Linked DNA regions of Oryctolagus cuniculus. The main gene of each other region encodes a partner of the protein of the gene in region 2 in a complex. Links are inferred from orthologs where the notes say so. Each region holds a gene or a part of one and is shown on either strand. Other genes may lie near its edges.

Region 1 (7,512 bases), on a different chromosome or scaffold from region 2:
CAGTTACAGAGTAACAAACAATGAAACAGAACAATTCTACCAATATACTACAAGAAAAGTACGTGAATATGGTCTCTCAAAATACAGAATAATCAAGGGGCAGGTGTTGAGCCACTGGGAGTTAAAATGCCACTTATGACAATAGCGTACCATATCAGAGCACTGGTTCAAGTCCTGTCTACTCTGCTTCCAATCCAGCTCCCTGCTAACCTGGGAAGGCAGTGGAAGATAGCCCAAGTCCTTGAGCCCCTGTCACTATGTGGGAGACCCAGATGGGAGTTCCTGGCTTCAGCCTGGCCCAGCTCTGGCTGTTGTAGCCAACTGAGAGTGAACTAGCAAATGGTAAAAATCTATTCCCCACCCACCCCGGCCCACATGCCCCTCTTGGTTGTTCTGCCTTTCAAAGAAACAAATAAATATTTAAAAACATAGGAAATCTTTCCCTTAATGTTTCTGGACCAGAGCTGATCATGGGTAACTAATACTATGGAAAGCAAAACCTTGGGTAAAGGGGACTGTTGTACAAAAATACTTTCTCTTCTGATGTATTCACTTTTTCCAGAAAAACAGAAGTGAAAAACCTAACTTCTTGAACCTAGGTTAATAGATGTGCCCTTGGCACATTGCTTCTTGGAAGAGACAGCACACCTGCATCTATACAGGATCTCAACAGCCTCTGTGAAAAGGATGGAGCACGACCTCATCCTCACACCAGTCCTAGGGCACCAATGTCGCTGACGGGACGGGTGTGCTTCATGGTCGCCATGGCGAAGGACACGCACAAAGGGAGGGTGACAGCCAAGCACAGTTATCACCACCTCATTACCTAGTCCTGCCAGACAGGATCCCCACAGAATCTAGGCCTTAGATTTAGGCTTCAAGTGCATTTCCAAATGTTCAACCTAAAAAAAGGCTTCTATGTGTAAATTCTCCAGGTCATTCTTCCCTTTCTCTCTTCTTTTAATGGAGAATTCCCTGGGTTCCACATTAAGGGAGAAAATCACATCAATCAGTAAATTAGTGCTTTTTCCATGTTTCACTCTTTCAGGTCACTTCAACTTCTTTGTGTTTTTTATTTTTTTTATTAAGAAGATGCCAATCTAAAAGTTTGAAGCCCAGCACCACAATCCAATGTTACTGCCCTCTGCATTTTGCTGACATAGATGTGAAGACGAAAGCAAGTTAGAAACCCAGAGATTATGCCCAAAAAGGTTAAATGAGCCATCTGAAGTCACCGAGATGGAACCAAGGAAAGACCCAGGGAAAATGCACATTTCCAACCTCACACTTCCTTTCCTTTAACCCATCCTCATGCAAAGACCGTATAGTTTGCAAGTAATGCTTAGCTAAACCTGGGACTCCACACCGATTTATCACTTTAAACAATTAAAGCCCTACATTTACAGGGTCATACAAACCTATCTGGCTTCTCTAGTGTGCCATCAGTGGTTCATTTTTGCCAGTTTACACTTAAATTGGGAGAGGGAGTATTCACCCCAAGAATTTCCATGCAATGCTGGATCTGGCACCTTTCAGACCACCAAATGCTTTCAAGTATAAGAATTTTCCCCAGGGGCCGGTGCTATGGCATAGCAGGTAAAGCTGCCACCTGCAGTGCCAGCACCCCATAGGGATGCTGGTTTGAGTTCCCGCTGCTCCACTTCCTATCCAGCTCCCTGCTAATGCACCAGGGAAAGCAGTGGAGGATGGTCCAAGTCCTTGGACTCCTGTACCCATGTGGGAGACTAGGAAGAAGCTCCTGGCTTTGGATCAGCCCAGCTCTGGCTGTTGTGGCCATTTGGGGAGTGAACCAGCAGATGGAAGATTCTTTATCTTTGTCTCTCTGGCTTTCGAATTAAATTTTTTTTCCCTCGGGACCAGCACTTTGGTATAGCAGGTTAAGCCACCACTTGCAGAGCTGGCATCCCATGTGAGCTCCAGTTTGAGTCCCAGCTACTCCACCTCCAATCCAGCTCCCTGTTAATGTGCTGTGGAAAGCAATGGAAGATGGCCCAAGTGCTTGGGCCCCTCCCACCCACATAGGTGTCTTGGTAGGAGCTTCTGGCTCCTGATTTTGTCCTGGCCCAGCCCTAGTTAATGCAGCCATTGGGGAGTAAACTAGCAGATGGAAAAATCTTTTTCTGTGTAACTCTCCATTTCAAATAAATACGTAAGTTTTTAAATAAAAAATTTTTTCTCTTAAAAACAATTTTAGTAATTTCCTTGTACATACTGATCATTTAATTTACTGAAAGGATGTAAGCGGCCGGCGCCGGCATCCCAGGTTCTAATCCCAGTTGCTCCTCTTCCAGTCCAGCTCTCTGCTGTGGCCCAGGAGGGCAGTGGACGATGGCCCAAGGGCTTGGGCCCTGCACCCGCATGGGAGACCAGGAGGAAGCACCTGGTTCCTGGCTTTGGATGGGTGCAGTGCGCCGGCCGTGGTGGCCATTTTGGGGGGTGAACCAATGGAAAATGGAAAACCTTTCTCTCTGTCTTTAACTCTGCCTGTCCAAAAAACCAAAAAGGATGTAAACAATTACAGTATTTGAGGTGAATCAGATTAGAAACTGAGCAAAAGATAATTAATTGAGGGCCGGCGCCGCGGCTCACTAGGCTAATCCTCCGCCTAGCGGCGCCGGCACACTGGGTTCTAGTCCCGGTCGGGGCGCCGGATTCTGTCCCGGTTGCCCCTCTTCCAGGCCAGCTCTCTGCTGTGGCCAGGGAGTGCAGTGGAGGATGGCCCAGGTGCTTGGGCCCTGCACCCCATGGGAGACCAGGAGAAGCACCTGGCTCCTGCCATCGGATCAGCGCGGTGCGCCGGCCGCGGCGGCCATTGGAGGGTGAACCAACGGCAAAGGAAGACCTTTCTCTCTGTCTCTCTCTCACTGTCCACTCTGCCTGTCAAAAAAAAAAAAAAAAGATAATTAATTGAAAATCTAAAAAATGATACAGTTCTGACTGTAACATAATGTAAATGTACAGGAAAACATGTCTGAGTTCACACAAAGAGGGGATTACAATTGAGACTGTTTAGGCTATAATGAAGTCAGTCGAAAACATGTACTTAGGGCAGGCACCGTGAAATCCACACTACCCAGGACCAAGATGAGGCTGGGACAATTTAGGGTATCACTCTACCCTGGGAAGCAACTGTGTGTATGACACTGTACCACACCCGCCCACCTCGGTCATCTCTCCCAGTTGGCCCCTAGCATCTTGAAGGTCCTAAGCACTGGCTATTTAACATACACGGACATAACACTGTGCACCAGCTGCACGGGCGGTTGCGGGGGACACCAACAGAGCAAGGACAGGTCTCTGCCTGGGAGAAGCCAGGGACGGTGAGGCGGGGCCTTCCTAGGTGCGCAGGTGGGGGACTTGCGGGGCCGCAGCCAGGAGTTACATCACCGTAGCCAGAAGCAGCAGAACCTGTTTGTGTGCCATCCACCCCCTGACTTCACCCCTCAGCGAACAGACACCAGTGGGGTAATTAACTGAACAGGCAGGAATGAAGCTTCCACGACGCAGGGGGAGGGGTCGGTCCCTCGGCCGGGGGAAGGTGAAGGGAGCGCATCTCAGCAGAGGCTCGAGACCCCCGAGTCAGAGTCGGCGCGGCCAAAACCGAGGGGATGGGGAGCTCTCCCCCGCCCGGAAGAGCCCACGCCAACAAAGACCCCGGCCAGAGTCGTGAGCCCCCACCCGCGGCTTTCGGTAGATTTCAAGGAATCACCACCGCCCCCGGACACAATGCGTGAACTCCACGTGAACCGCAACAACTAACGAGGCTGACTCCAAAGTGATAAAGGAGCCGGCTACTGCCGGCCAGATAGTGGGAATCCTGCAGAGGCGCTGATAAGCAGAAATCACCAAGCTCGGGACCTGCTCGGATCCGGAGGGCTCACGTCGGGGTCGCCGGGGAGGCGGCGCCCCAGGAATTACCGGGCGGCGATGAGCCGGGTCAGCGGGTCTCCCGCCTGGGCAGGGGCGTCCGGCGTCTCTGTCTGGCGGCGGCACTAGCGGTCGCACATCTCGGGGAGGGACCGCCGGGCAACCGCGCAGGGGAGAGGCGCGCGCGGCACGCACGAGCAGTCGCGAGCCATCACTGGGTCAAGGCAGGCAAGAGGTGAGCGGGGGCGCGCCGCGCGGAGCGCCCCGAGGGAGGAGCCCCGCTCCGGCGGGAAAGCCCCACCGGGGGGCGGCGCCGAGTGGGGCCGCAGTCGGCGGCGCGGCGCGCGGACCCCCGGCCTCGCGGCGCCCGCGAACCGCCACCCGCCGGCCCGCGGCGCGCCAGGGGAAGGGGCGCCGGGGGCGGGGCCGGGGGGACGCGCCGGCCCGACGCCGCCTCGCCCCCTCCCGGCCGGGGCCAGGCGGCCCGACTCGGCCTCGCGGCCCAGCTCCCGCCATCCTCCCCCTCCCCCTGCTTCCCGCCGCCACTCACCGAACCGGAACCGGCTGCTATGCGAGGGGGTTTCCGGCCGGTCGCGGGACGCAAAACCCGGGAACCTCCGCGAACCGGAACCGCTTTCACAACGCCGGAAGGCCCGCTGGCGACAGCGGCGGGGGGGGGGGTGTCAGCGGGCTTCGGGGCCCGCGGGACGCCTGCGCGGTGCGGCGAGGCCTCGGAAGGCGAGGGAGCGTTGACTGCTGCGGTCACGACTTCCCTGCTGCCCCCTGCTTGTGCTGTTTCTCTTCCTCAGGCTCGGAATACTTGGCGCGCCCTTGGTCCTTTCTTTTCTCTGTCCCTCGGCCCCCTTACCCGCCGCTCTCTGGTTCCGCCCCGCCGTCCCGGCTCGCGCTGCGGTTTCCATGGCAGCCCGTTGGCGGCCCGGGTCTGCGGGAACTTGCGGGCGGCTGCCCTGAGAGGAGGGGACCCGGGGTCCCGATAGGTCTCAGTTTGTGGCGGGTCCCGTGGAGGCTTACAGAGCGTGCGCACTCGAGAAGAGGCAGTCAGAGCTGGCTGAGGCTAGCAGGTTCCTCACTTGGCAGCGCACCGCGCTTGATTAAGTCGGGGGCGCGGGGGGCGCTTTGGGGGCGGCCCTGGCGGCGTGTGGAAACGCAGGCCTGCTTTCCTGGGTGGACCCGGGCCTTCGCTCCGGGAGCACACTGGCTGACCTGCAGCCCGTGCCATGCTGAGGGGGTCCGCTTGTTGGTTCATTCAGACTGGCGGGCCTTGCCTGACCAGGCCTGTCCCGCGGTGCTGAGGCGGGCTGGTGAGGGCCACCTGGCGCGCCAGTGTCTGGATGGCTCCACGCTAGGGCCTCGTGCCGGTACCGTTGGACATACCTGCTCCTGCCAGTCATGGACACCTAATCATGGCGCGATCTGCTCATTTGGACTTAATTCTGTCTCTCTAGGAGACAGCCATGCGTGAAGAGGAATTTCATCTGAAATTTTTCATGTGTGTGATTCGGTCTCACCAGGTAGTCAGGACTCCTCAAAGCACAGGTACCTGAGTCTCCTGACGGTGCTCCTGCGCACTGCCTGGGTTCTTGGATGGGAGTCTCAGAACAGGCGTCAGGGGCAAGTGGCCAGGTGTGTTCCCTTGTCTTACCTTTTCCTAACACAAGCACCTGCATAAGTGTGTGGATAGGCCCAAGCAGGTAAGGAGGATTTGGGAGCTGAGAGAGAACCAGAGGCAGAGCCCACGAGCTGGCTGTTGGCTTCTGGGTCCTTAGTCTAGGCTCACCTCTGGGAGTCCCAGTTCCCACTGTCATTGACACCCCAAACCTGTAAAGTCAGTCAAGCCCCAAGGAAAAATGACCTCTTCCTCGGCAAGTATCTGGCTGTGTTCTGCTTTTCCCGTTTATGTCAGAGGGATAGATTGCTTTGGACGAAAGATGGTTGTTGAGAAGAGTCACTGCTTCTCTTATTTTTCACTGGATTTATGGAAAGAGTGTCATGGACAGCTGAGAGTCAGAAAATGAACGGGAGGAAGGAGTGCTCCTCCCTGAGTCTCACCTCGAGGGTAACCCAGGACTCTTTGCTTCTCAGCTGCGGAAGCTTCGACTTCCAACAGGCTCATACCAAGGCCACCACCCAAGACAGATGCCTCCCAGAGTCTGTACACTGATGATGACCCAGGCACCGAGGAAGGCATACCTCATCTTCAAACTGGTGAGGCATGCGGGGAAATGAGGGGTAGCAATGTGCAAAGGAGTGTTGGAGAGTGAGGTACTCAAGCGCGGGTGGTCAGCCAGGGTAGACCTACCAAACTCGAAATAAGAGCTAAGACACAGGGAGAAAGTGTGAGTGTGTGAGAAAGGGGAAGAGAGAGGTCGTTTGGAAAACTAGAGAAAGGAACACCCACCTCAGGAAGCACAGGTTTTTTTCCTCTTTACTGCATCAGTTGTCCCCTCATCTGTGAGTTGCTGGTTGGCTTCCCGAACTTCCGTCAGCAAGTTTGATATACAAGCATGTGAAATATTATTTTTAGTTAATGTTTATTTATATATTTATATCTACTTGAAAGGCAGAGCAACAGAGAGAGATTGAGAGGGAGAGAGAGAGAGCTTCCATCTACTGATTCACTTATCAAATACCTGAAACAGCCTGCCTGAGCCAGGCCAAAGCTGGGAGCCAGGAACTCTACCCAGGTCTTCCATGTGGTTGGCAGGGACCCAAGCATTTGAGCCGTCACTGCTGCCTCAATGTTGAGTTCACAAGCAATTTATATTAAAGCTTAGAAACAATTCTTTTTGATTAGGACAGGGCTTGTGGTGCAGCAGGTTAAACCACTGCTTGGGATGCCACATCCCATGTTGAAGAGTGGTTTGACCCTGCTTCCAATCCATTGCCCTTCTAATGTACACCCTAGAAGTAAGCAGGTGATGACTCAAGTACTTGGGTCCCTACCATCCACACAGAGACCCAAGTGGAGTTCTAGGCTCCAGACTTTGTCCTGGCCCAGTCCTGGCTGTTGTGGAAATCTGGGGAGAAAACCAGCATATGGAAGAACTCTTGTCATTCTACTTTTTATAGTGGATGAAAATAAGTAAATATTTTGAAAGTATGTGTATATCAGAATCAGTTGACTGCAGACATGTGTTGAATTCCCTCTGTTGTCTCCAGTAATACACTAGAAGTGATAGTTTATGATGCATGTGGTAGGCCTGCCCTTGTCATTGTTCTGATGGTTTACCTTAGAGAATATTTAGTTCAACTCTTGTATTTTCAGAAGGAATTTAGGACTAAAAAGGTCTTCCTTGAGATTCAGCAATTTCATTAATCACTCCCAGCACCTATTAAATATATAACAGTATTTGCTCATAATTTTTAGCATTTGTCATTTGAAATCATGACTGGGAGAGCTGGTGATCAAGGAAAGGAAGTGGAAGGAGCAATGTGTAGGGTAAGAGCTTGGGAACATTGGTTCACAATGTTGAATTTCAAAACGAGATGCTCTAGAGATGGAGAGAAAGGAAGGGCTTGTTTGTGGAGGCTGGCACTGTGGTCCTGCACAGTCTGCATTAGTACAGTCTCCTTAGTGTACCCAGACTCGACCACACTCACGGG
Region 2 (7,570 bases):
ATGGCTTTGCCATGGGCGCCTGCAGTCGCCCAAACCACCACCAGGAAAACAGGCGGTAAGAACAGAGCCAGCCCCGCCGCCCGGCTTCGGCTGCTCACAGGGGCACTCGCTCTGTCAGGGAACATGGGGCCAGAGCTCCCTCTCCCCGGGCACAGCTGAGAATAACCTCTATGATAGAAACCAAGCAGGGGCCGACGCTGTGGCGTAGCAGGTAAAGCTGCTGCCTGCAGTGCCAGCATCCCATGTGGGTGCCGGTTCGAGTCCCAGCTGCTCCTCTTCCAATCCAGCTCTCTGCTGTGGCCTGGGAAAGCAGAAGATGGCCCGAGTCCTTGGGCCCCTGTGCCCGCGTGGGAGACCTGGAAGAAGCTCCTGGCTCAATCAGCCCAGCTCCGGCCGTGAACAGGTGGGTGGAAGACCTCTCTCTGCCTCTGCCTTTCTGTAACTCTGCCTTTCAGATATAAATAAATCTTAAAATAAATAAATAAATAAGCCCAGGAGACAGGGAACAAACCGCAAAATTTCCCAACCCTGAGTGAAAGGGAAAGCTGAAGGAGTCGGCAGCGACGCCTCCCAGGGGCCAGGCTTCAAACGTGGGGCGGGAAAAGGCGGCAGAGAACTGTTGCAAAGCGTTTTATCCTTTAAAAAACCCAAAAGCGAGAACTACCAAACCAACGGAGCAAAACCAAACAGTAACAGTGGGGGCTAAGCTGCCGCCTGGGTCACCCGCCAGTCCCAGTCCCAGCTGCTCTGCTTCCAAGGCCGCTCCCTGCTAACGCGCCCCGGAGCAGCCGGTGACGGCTCAAGGACCGGAGTCCCTGTCGCCCACGTGGGAGAGCCAGGTGGCGATTCTGGCTCACTCAGGCTGGCTCAGCCCCAGCTTTTGCAGACATCGGGGGAGTGAAGTACTAGGTAGAAGCTCGCTCACTCACTCGCTCTCTGTTACCCTGCCTTGCAAATAAATAAATACACCAAAAAAAAAAAAAAAAGTAGCAATCACTATATTCTCAAAGGAATCAAGAAAGGCAGCCTCATGCTAAGTGTCAGCAGATGCTCTGAGCTGCCACTCAAAGGAACAAGCAACGGCAGCGCTGGGCTGGCGGGCTGGCAGGGCAGGCGCCATACAGGTCCCAGCACAGCCGTGAGTCAGCAAGGCCATGCAGTGGCAGGAATTCTGCAACGGACTGGACCGATGCCCATCTCCCCAGGACGAGCACGCTGGGCACGGACTGGAACGCCACGACCGTCGAAGCACAGACGTGTACGACCCATGAGCTGGTGAGACGAACGCTAGCCACCAGAAACGGCCGTTCTGACTGACCACAGGGGGGTGCTGCTGAGGCGGCTCGCTGTTTGGGAAACTGGGGGAGATCCATCATTTTCTCGCCGTTGCTAAACGAGCTGGCAAAGCACACTGCTGACGGGCAGAAGTAAGGCGAGGAGCGACGCGGGACCTGCCCGGCAGTGCATCGGAAGGCACCGGCCCCAGAGGGCGTCTCAGCAGAAGGGCCCGCCCGCGGTGAGCGCCACCTGTCCGTTTACAGGGGCACCGGGACGAGACCCCTGGGCAAGGCAGCCGGGGGGCGCCGCACCTGCCCCAGAGGGCGTCTCAGCAGAAGGGCCCGCCACGGTGAGCGCCACCTGTCCGTTTACAGGGCCACCGGGACGAGACCCCTGGGCAAGGCCCCTGGGCAAGGCAGCCGGGGGGCGCCGCACCTGCCGCTCGCAGTAGGCCTTCATCAGCTTGCTCAGTGGGGTGTGCCTCTTGATCTTGAACTGCACCACGGAGCCGTCCTGCCCGGCCACCTTCAGGTTGATGTGGTCATTCTCGGTCTTCACGCCCTCCTGCAGGGACAGGAAACACCTCTAAGGATCCGGCGCTCTCCAGGAGCTGAGGGGCGCCGGGCTTCACTGACGTCATGGCCACCACCTAACCGGCGCCTCCGTCCAGGCCCCTCCAGCAGGCGGCTGCTTTGTTTTGGCACAGAACGGACTTTCACCCCCAGCCGCTGGGCGTCCCGGGGGAGCAGCACGCCCGAGCCTGCAGGGCCCAGGAGAAGTCGGAAAACCCATCTTCGTTTGAAAGTCACTTTTACAAAACTAACAGAACCACACACTGCACGCAGCTGTGCGTGACTTCAGAGAAGCAGAAGGCAGTGTTGACAGGAGGGAGGGAAGCTGCGGTCCACGCGGCAGCGGCCAGGAGGGCCATGCGGCCCGGGCAGGTGCGGACACGTGCGTGGGGCTGCCAGCTCCCGGCCCCAGCCCCGCCGTTGCAGGCATCTGGGATACGCACAGGGCCGACGGGAGACCCTCTCTCTGTGTCTCTGACTCTCAAGTAAACACACTTTAAAATCTTTTTTTTTTTTTTTTTGACAGGCAGAGTGGACAGTGAGAGACAGAGAGAAAAAAATCTTTTTTTAAAAGAGGAAAAGAAGTCCTAAAACCAATTGCCCCAATTCATTGTGGTCAGTATTCTGGGGGGCAGAAATGGTTTTCCCATCTGACCACAAGGCTGCCTCCCCGCACGCCCACGCCCCACGGCCAGAGCAGAGCTGGCGTCCACCGGCAAGTTTATGCCATGGGCGAGGACCTGGGCCGGGGGGCCCTGCCCTGGGCACACGTTAGAGGCTGTGGCCAGATGCCGGCTTTCCTCCCTCACCCAAGCAGGGCCCGGCCAGGGGCTGGGCTCCAGCCTCCTCCCTCACCTGTGAAGGGGGCTGCTCACCTCTGACCCCAGCTGCAGCAGGAGCCCCAGGTCCCCAGCACGGAGCCCCAGGTCCCCAGCACGTGCTCAGAGACCGGAGCTTCCGCCTCCACCTACCCAAGGACTGCCGGCCTGACCCAGGGCAGCCCTCGGGGCGGGACAGGAAGGGGCCCACCCCAGGCCGGGACGATGGGAGCACCCTGGGACCTAGAGGGAGAGGGGGAGCACCCTGGGGCTGTGACGGGGAGGGGTGCACCCTGGGACCTAGAGGGAGAGGGGGAGCACCCCGGGACCGTGACGGGGAGGGGGAGCACCCTGGGGCTGTGACGGGGACGGGGAGCACCCTGGGGCTGTGACAGGGAGGGGGCGCACCCCAGGGCGGCGACGGGGAGTGGGAGCACCCTGGGACTGTGACAGGGAGGTGGGCGCACCCTGGGACCTAGAGGGAGAGGGGGAGCACCCTGGGGCTGTGACGGGGAGTGGGAGCACCCTGGGACTGTGACAGGGAGGTGGGCACACCCTGGGACCTAGAGGGAGAGGGGGCGCACCCCGGGGCCATGACGGGGAGGGGGAGCACCCTGGGGCTATGACGGGGAGGGGGAGCACCCTGGGGCTGTGACGGGGAAGGGCCGCACCCCGGGGCCGCGCTGGGAGACGGCAGCACATCCGGGGTCGCAGCGGGCTACCGACCCCGGCTACTCCCACTCTCTCAGGAGAGGGGCCACCGCGCGGGAAAACCTGGACGGAGGACGGGGCCACGCGAACACGCCCTCGAGGACGCGCGCCAGGGGGCGCACAGCGGGGGCGGGGCCAGGAGGCGGGGCTTGGAGCGGGGCTCGGGAGAGACGCTGTCAGGGCGGGGCTTCTCGGGGCGGGGCTATGACGTAAGAGGCCCGAGACCAGAAAGGGGGCGGGTCTCCGGGAGAGACCTATTGGGGGCGGGGCTAGGACGGGACGGGGCTAGGACTAGAGGGGCTCGAAACCGGCAAGGGGCGGGGCTCGAGAAGCGGAAGGGGGCGGGCTCGGGGAGGAGCTCCGACGGGTGCAGAGCAGGGGCGGGGCTCCGGGACAGACGCTGTCGGGGCGGGGCGAGGACGGGGCGGGGCGCGCCGCGGAGCCCGCGGTGGGGGAGGGGCGCGGAGGCCCGTGGGGGAGGGGCGGGCGTGCGGCGTGGGCCCGGGCGCGGGGCTCGTGGGCGCCGTGGCCACGGCGGGTGGGGACGGGGCCTGCCAGGAGCGGAGGCGCGGGTGCCCCGGGGCGGCGGGCGGCGGGCGGGCCGCGGCTTACCTTGGGCTTCTCCTCGGACATGGCTGCGCGCGGTCGCGGTCGCGGCGGCGGCGGCAGCAGCAGCGCGAGCGGGGCAGTCGCTCTCCGGGCCGCCGCTCTCCCGCCGCAACTGCCCTCGGGGCCGCGCTTTATCCCTCAAATCCCGGCGCGCCGGTTGGCCGGGGGAGGTCACGTGGCGGGCGCGCGTGCACGAGGCGCGCGCCCTGGGGCGTCGGGCGCGCGCCCGGGCGGGCCGCGGTTCCCGGCGGTTGGAAGTGCGTCACGGGGCGGGTCCCCGCGCGACCCCGCAGTCTGGGCGCCCGGGGGCGCGCGTGGGACCCGGGGCCGCAGGCTGTCGCGGGTGCCCGGCCCCGGGGACGCGCAGGGAGTGCACGGCTGGGGGAGCCCAGGGCCCGGGATCGGGCTTGGGGGCGGGGACGTGAGGGCCAGGCCTGGGCTCCGGAGTGGCTGCGCTGACGTGGGCAGGGTCAGGGTCCAGTTCGGGCCTCGGGGCCCTGGAGCCACCTGCAAGTCCCCTTGGGAACCCCCCGCCCGCGCGCGGCCCCAGGCCTCTGAGCTGTGCAGGCCGAGGCCAGGCCACGCACCCCCCACTTCTGCGGGGCTGCATTTCTCTAGGGGGTAAAGGAAAGGCGGTGGGGGGGGCTCGGGAGAGGCCCTTCCCCGACTGGAGGGGACCTGTGTCCTCTGTCCACATCACGCAGGCTTCTGCAGACAGGGCTGGGGTCACCAGGTCCTCTCCTCCCGGCCACTTCCCTGGCCGGCGCCTCCTCTGGGGCGTCCACTCTCCACCATGGGGAGCCCCCTCCCGGTGGTTTGGCTGACTTCTAGAATGCTGTCCACACCTAGTCCTCGCAACAACCCATTCACGTATGAGAAAACCGAGGCGGTGGGAGGTGAAACCACAGGCCGGGTGTCACCACGGGTGGGAGCTCGAGCACCTGGCCGCGTGGCCCATGCAAGATGGGGGCCCACGGAACCGCGGAAGGCACGCCCACCCCCGACCTTAATCACCTCGGATGGAGGGGCCGGTGGGCGGCACCAGGATGAGCCGCAGCCCAAGGCTCGGAACCGTTTCCATCCTGCCTGAGCAGGCCAGCAGACAGGTGCCACTCACCTCCTGGTAACGCTGCGGAGCCGCAGGGCATCTCCCAAGCCCCCTTCCACCCTCAAACGTCTGGGCAGGGCCACCATTAAGAGCAAAGGTTACTGGGGCTGGGGCTGGGGCTGGGGCTGGGGCTGAGCCTCCGCCTGCAGCGCCGGCATCTGTGGGCGCCTTCAGTTTCCAGCGGCCGCTCTTCCGATCCAGCTCCCTGCTGTGGCCTGGGACAGCAGCAGCAGGCCCAAGTCCTTGGGGCCCTGCGGCCATGTGGGAGGCCGGAAGAAGCTCCAGGACCCTGGCTTCGGATCGGTGCAGCTTCGGCCGTTGCGGAGAGAAGCAGCAGATGGAAGACTTCTCTCTGTCTGCAATAAATAAGTAAAATCAGAGAGAAAAAGACTGCTGAAGTCTGGCCGTGAGAGGTGCGCCCAGACCCAGCTTCCCAGCCCACAGGCTCCGGGTAGGGCTTGGTCTCTTCTGGCGCCCGGCCCCCTGCTGCCATGGTGGACGGTGTCCAGAGACCAACAGCACAGCCTGCGCTAGAGACGCCATGACCTGTGGACGATCACATGTCCTTACCCCCCCCCCGACACAGCTGACTGCGGCAGGTGGTGGGTGGAAGCCACATCCCGGTTTCTGGGGCTAAAAGCAAAAGTTTGCGACCCAGACACAGCGCCCAGAGCTGTTAGAACAAGAAATTAGTTCACATAATGTCACCACTGAAAGTGACGTCACTGATAACCGGAAGGTCTTCTCTGAGAAGCAAAGATCCCAGAAAGAGGAGGGAGGATTTCCTTTGAGGTATTTGGTGACCAGCAGCAAGCTGGTTACTCAACTCGGGCTGCCTTAAACACACACACACCCCATCACGTACCACACAGCACACACACGTACCACACACCACATCCCGACACACATCCCGTACCCCACATGCACACACACATCACACACCCCCTACATACACACACCACATACACACACACATCCCGTACCCCACATACACACACCACATACACACACACCACATACACACACCACATACACACACCACATCCCCCACACACATCCCGTACCCCACATGCACAACACATCACACACCCCCTACATACACACACCACATACACACACCACATCCCCCACACACATCCCGTACCCCACATATACACCCACATCACACACATACCACATCCCACACACACCACATACACACATACCACATGTACACATCACACACCCCACATACACACACCACACACCCCCTACATACACACACCACATACACACACACCACATATACACATCACACACCCCACATACACACACCACATCCCCCACACACATCCCGTACCCCACATACACACACCACACACACACATACCACATCCCACACACACCACATCCCCCACACACATCCCGTACCCCACATACACACACCACACACACACACACATCACACACCCCCTACATACACACACCACATACACACATACCACATGTACACATCACACACCCCACATACACACACCACACACCCCCTACATACACACACCACATACACACACACCACATCCCCCACACACATCCCGTACCCCACAAACACATACCACACACACACACACATCACACATCCCCTACATACACACACCACATACACACACACCACATCCCACACACACACCACATCCCACACACACATCACACACCCCCTACATACACACACCACATACACACACACCACATCCCCCACACACATCCCGTACCCCACATACACACACCACATACACACATACCACATCCCACACACACACCACATCCCACACACACATCCTGTACCCCACATACACACACCACATACACATACATCACAGACACTCCACATACATACATACCACATATACACATCACACACACCACATACATATACACATCACACATACCACCCGTACACAAACACATCACATACACACATACACCACACATATACCACATTCCCCCCACATGTCTCACACACACATCACATACCACATACTCACATATACAAACACCACATCATGCACACATCATACATACCACATACACACATACATCACACACACATCATACACATACCACATCACATACACCCCAGATACACACATACCATATCACACACATAGACCATGCACACACCACATACACTATATCACACATGATATGCACACATCACACACATACATGACACATGCACATCACGTACACACCCCACACATGTACCACACACATACACAACTCTCATACACACCTCACATCACATACATACAACACACACTACATGCATGCACACATCACACACACCCCACATGGTTTAAACAACAGACACCTGTCGTATCACAGTTCTGAAGGCTAGAGCTACAAAATCAAGGTGCTGTTGGGGTCGGCTTCTCTGGTGGGCCTCACTCGTGGCCTGCAGGCCGCCGCCTCCTTGCCGTGTCCTCCTGGGAGCG

What was found. The genes of interacting proteins can lie anywhere in the genome.
Region 1: the proteins of SUMO3 (region 2) and SENP1 are in contact, whole or in part, in a crystal structure (PDB 6NNQ), measured with the Homo sapiens proteins. The link is inferred for Oryctolagus cuniculus from reciprocal best matches to the Homo sapiens genes SUMO3 and SENP1. Residues at the interface, in NP_008867.2 of Homo sapiens: Gln24, Ser53, Arg55, Gln56, Arg58, Arg60, Asp62, Gly63, Pro65, Asn67, Thr69, Asp70, Gln74, Glu76, Asp84, Phe86, Gln87, Gln88, Gln89, Thr90, Gly91, Gly92; in NP_001254523.1 of Homo sapiens: Gln440, Asp441, Glu446, Arg449, Leu450, Thr451, Lys455, Trp465, Leu466, Asn467, Asp468, Glu469, Asn494, Thr495, Phe496, Lys500, Arg511, Trp512, Lys514, Lys515, His529, Gly531, Val532, His533, Trp534, Gln597, Gly600, Ser601, Asp602, Cys603.

Annotation. Positions count from the first base shown.
Region 1 is NC_091440.1:137,668,428-137,675,939, forward strand, and holds the start of SENP1 (sentrin-specific protease 1), read right to left. Parts: upstream 4,739-7,512; 5' UTR 4,439-4,738; intron 4,124-4,438; exon of another isoform or gene 3,940-4,123; intron 1-3,939. Other genes in the region: PFKM (ATP-dependent 6-phosphofructokinase, muscle type), read left to right, coding at 5,364-5,445, 5,992-6,114. UniProt on the Homo sapiens protein: Protease that catalyzes two essential functions in the SUMO pathway.
Region 2 is NC_091435.1:1,755,189-1,762,758, reverse strand, and holds the start of SUMO3 (small ubiquitin-related modifier 3), read right to left. Parts: upstream 4,175-7,570; 5' UTR 4,013-4,174; coding exon 3,992-4,012; intron 1,843-3,991; coding exon 1,714-1,842; intron 1-1,713. UniProt on the Homo sapiens protein: Ubiquitin-like protein which can be covalently attached to target lysines either as a monomer or as a lysine-linked polymer. Does not seem to be involved in protein degradation and may function as an antagonist of ubiquitin in the degradation process.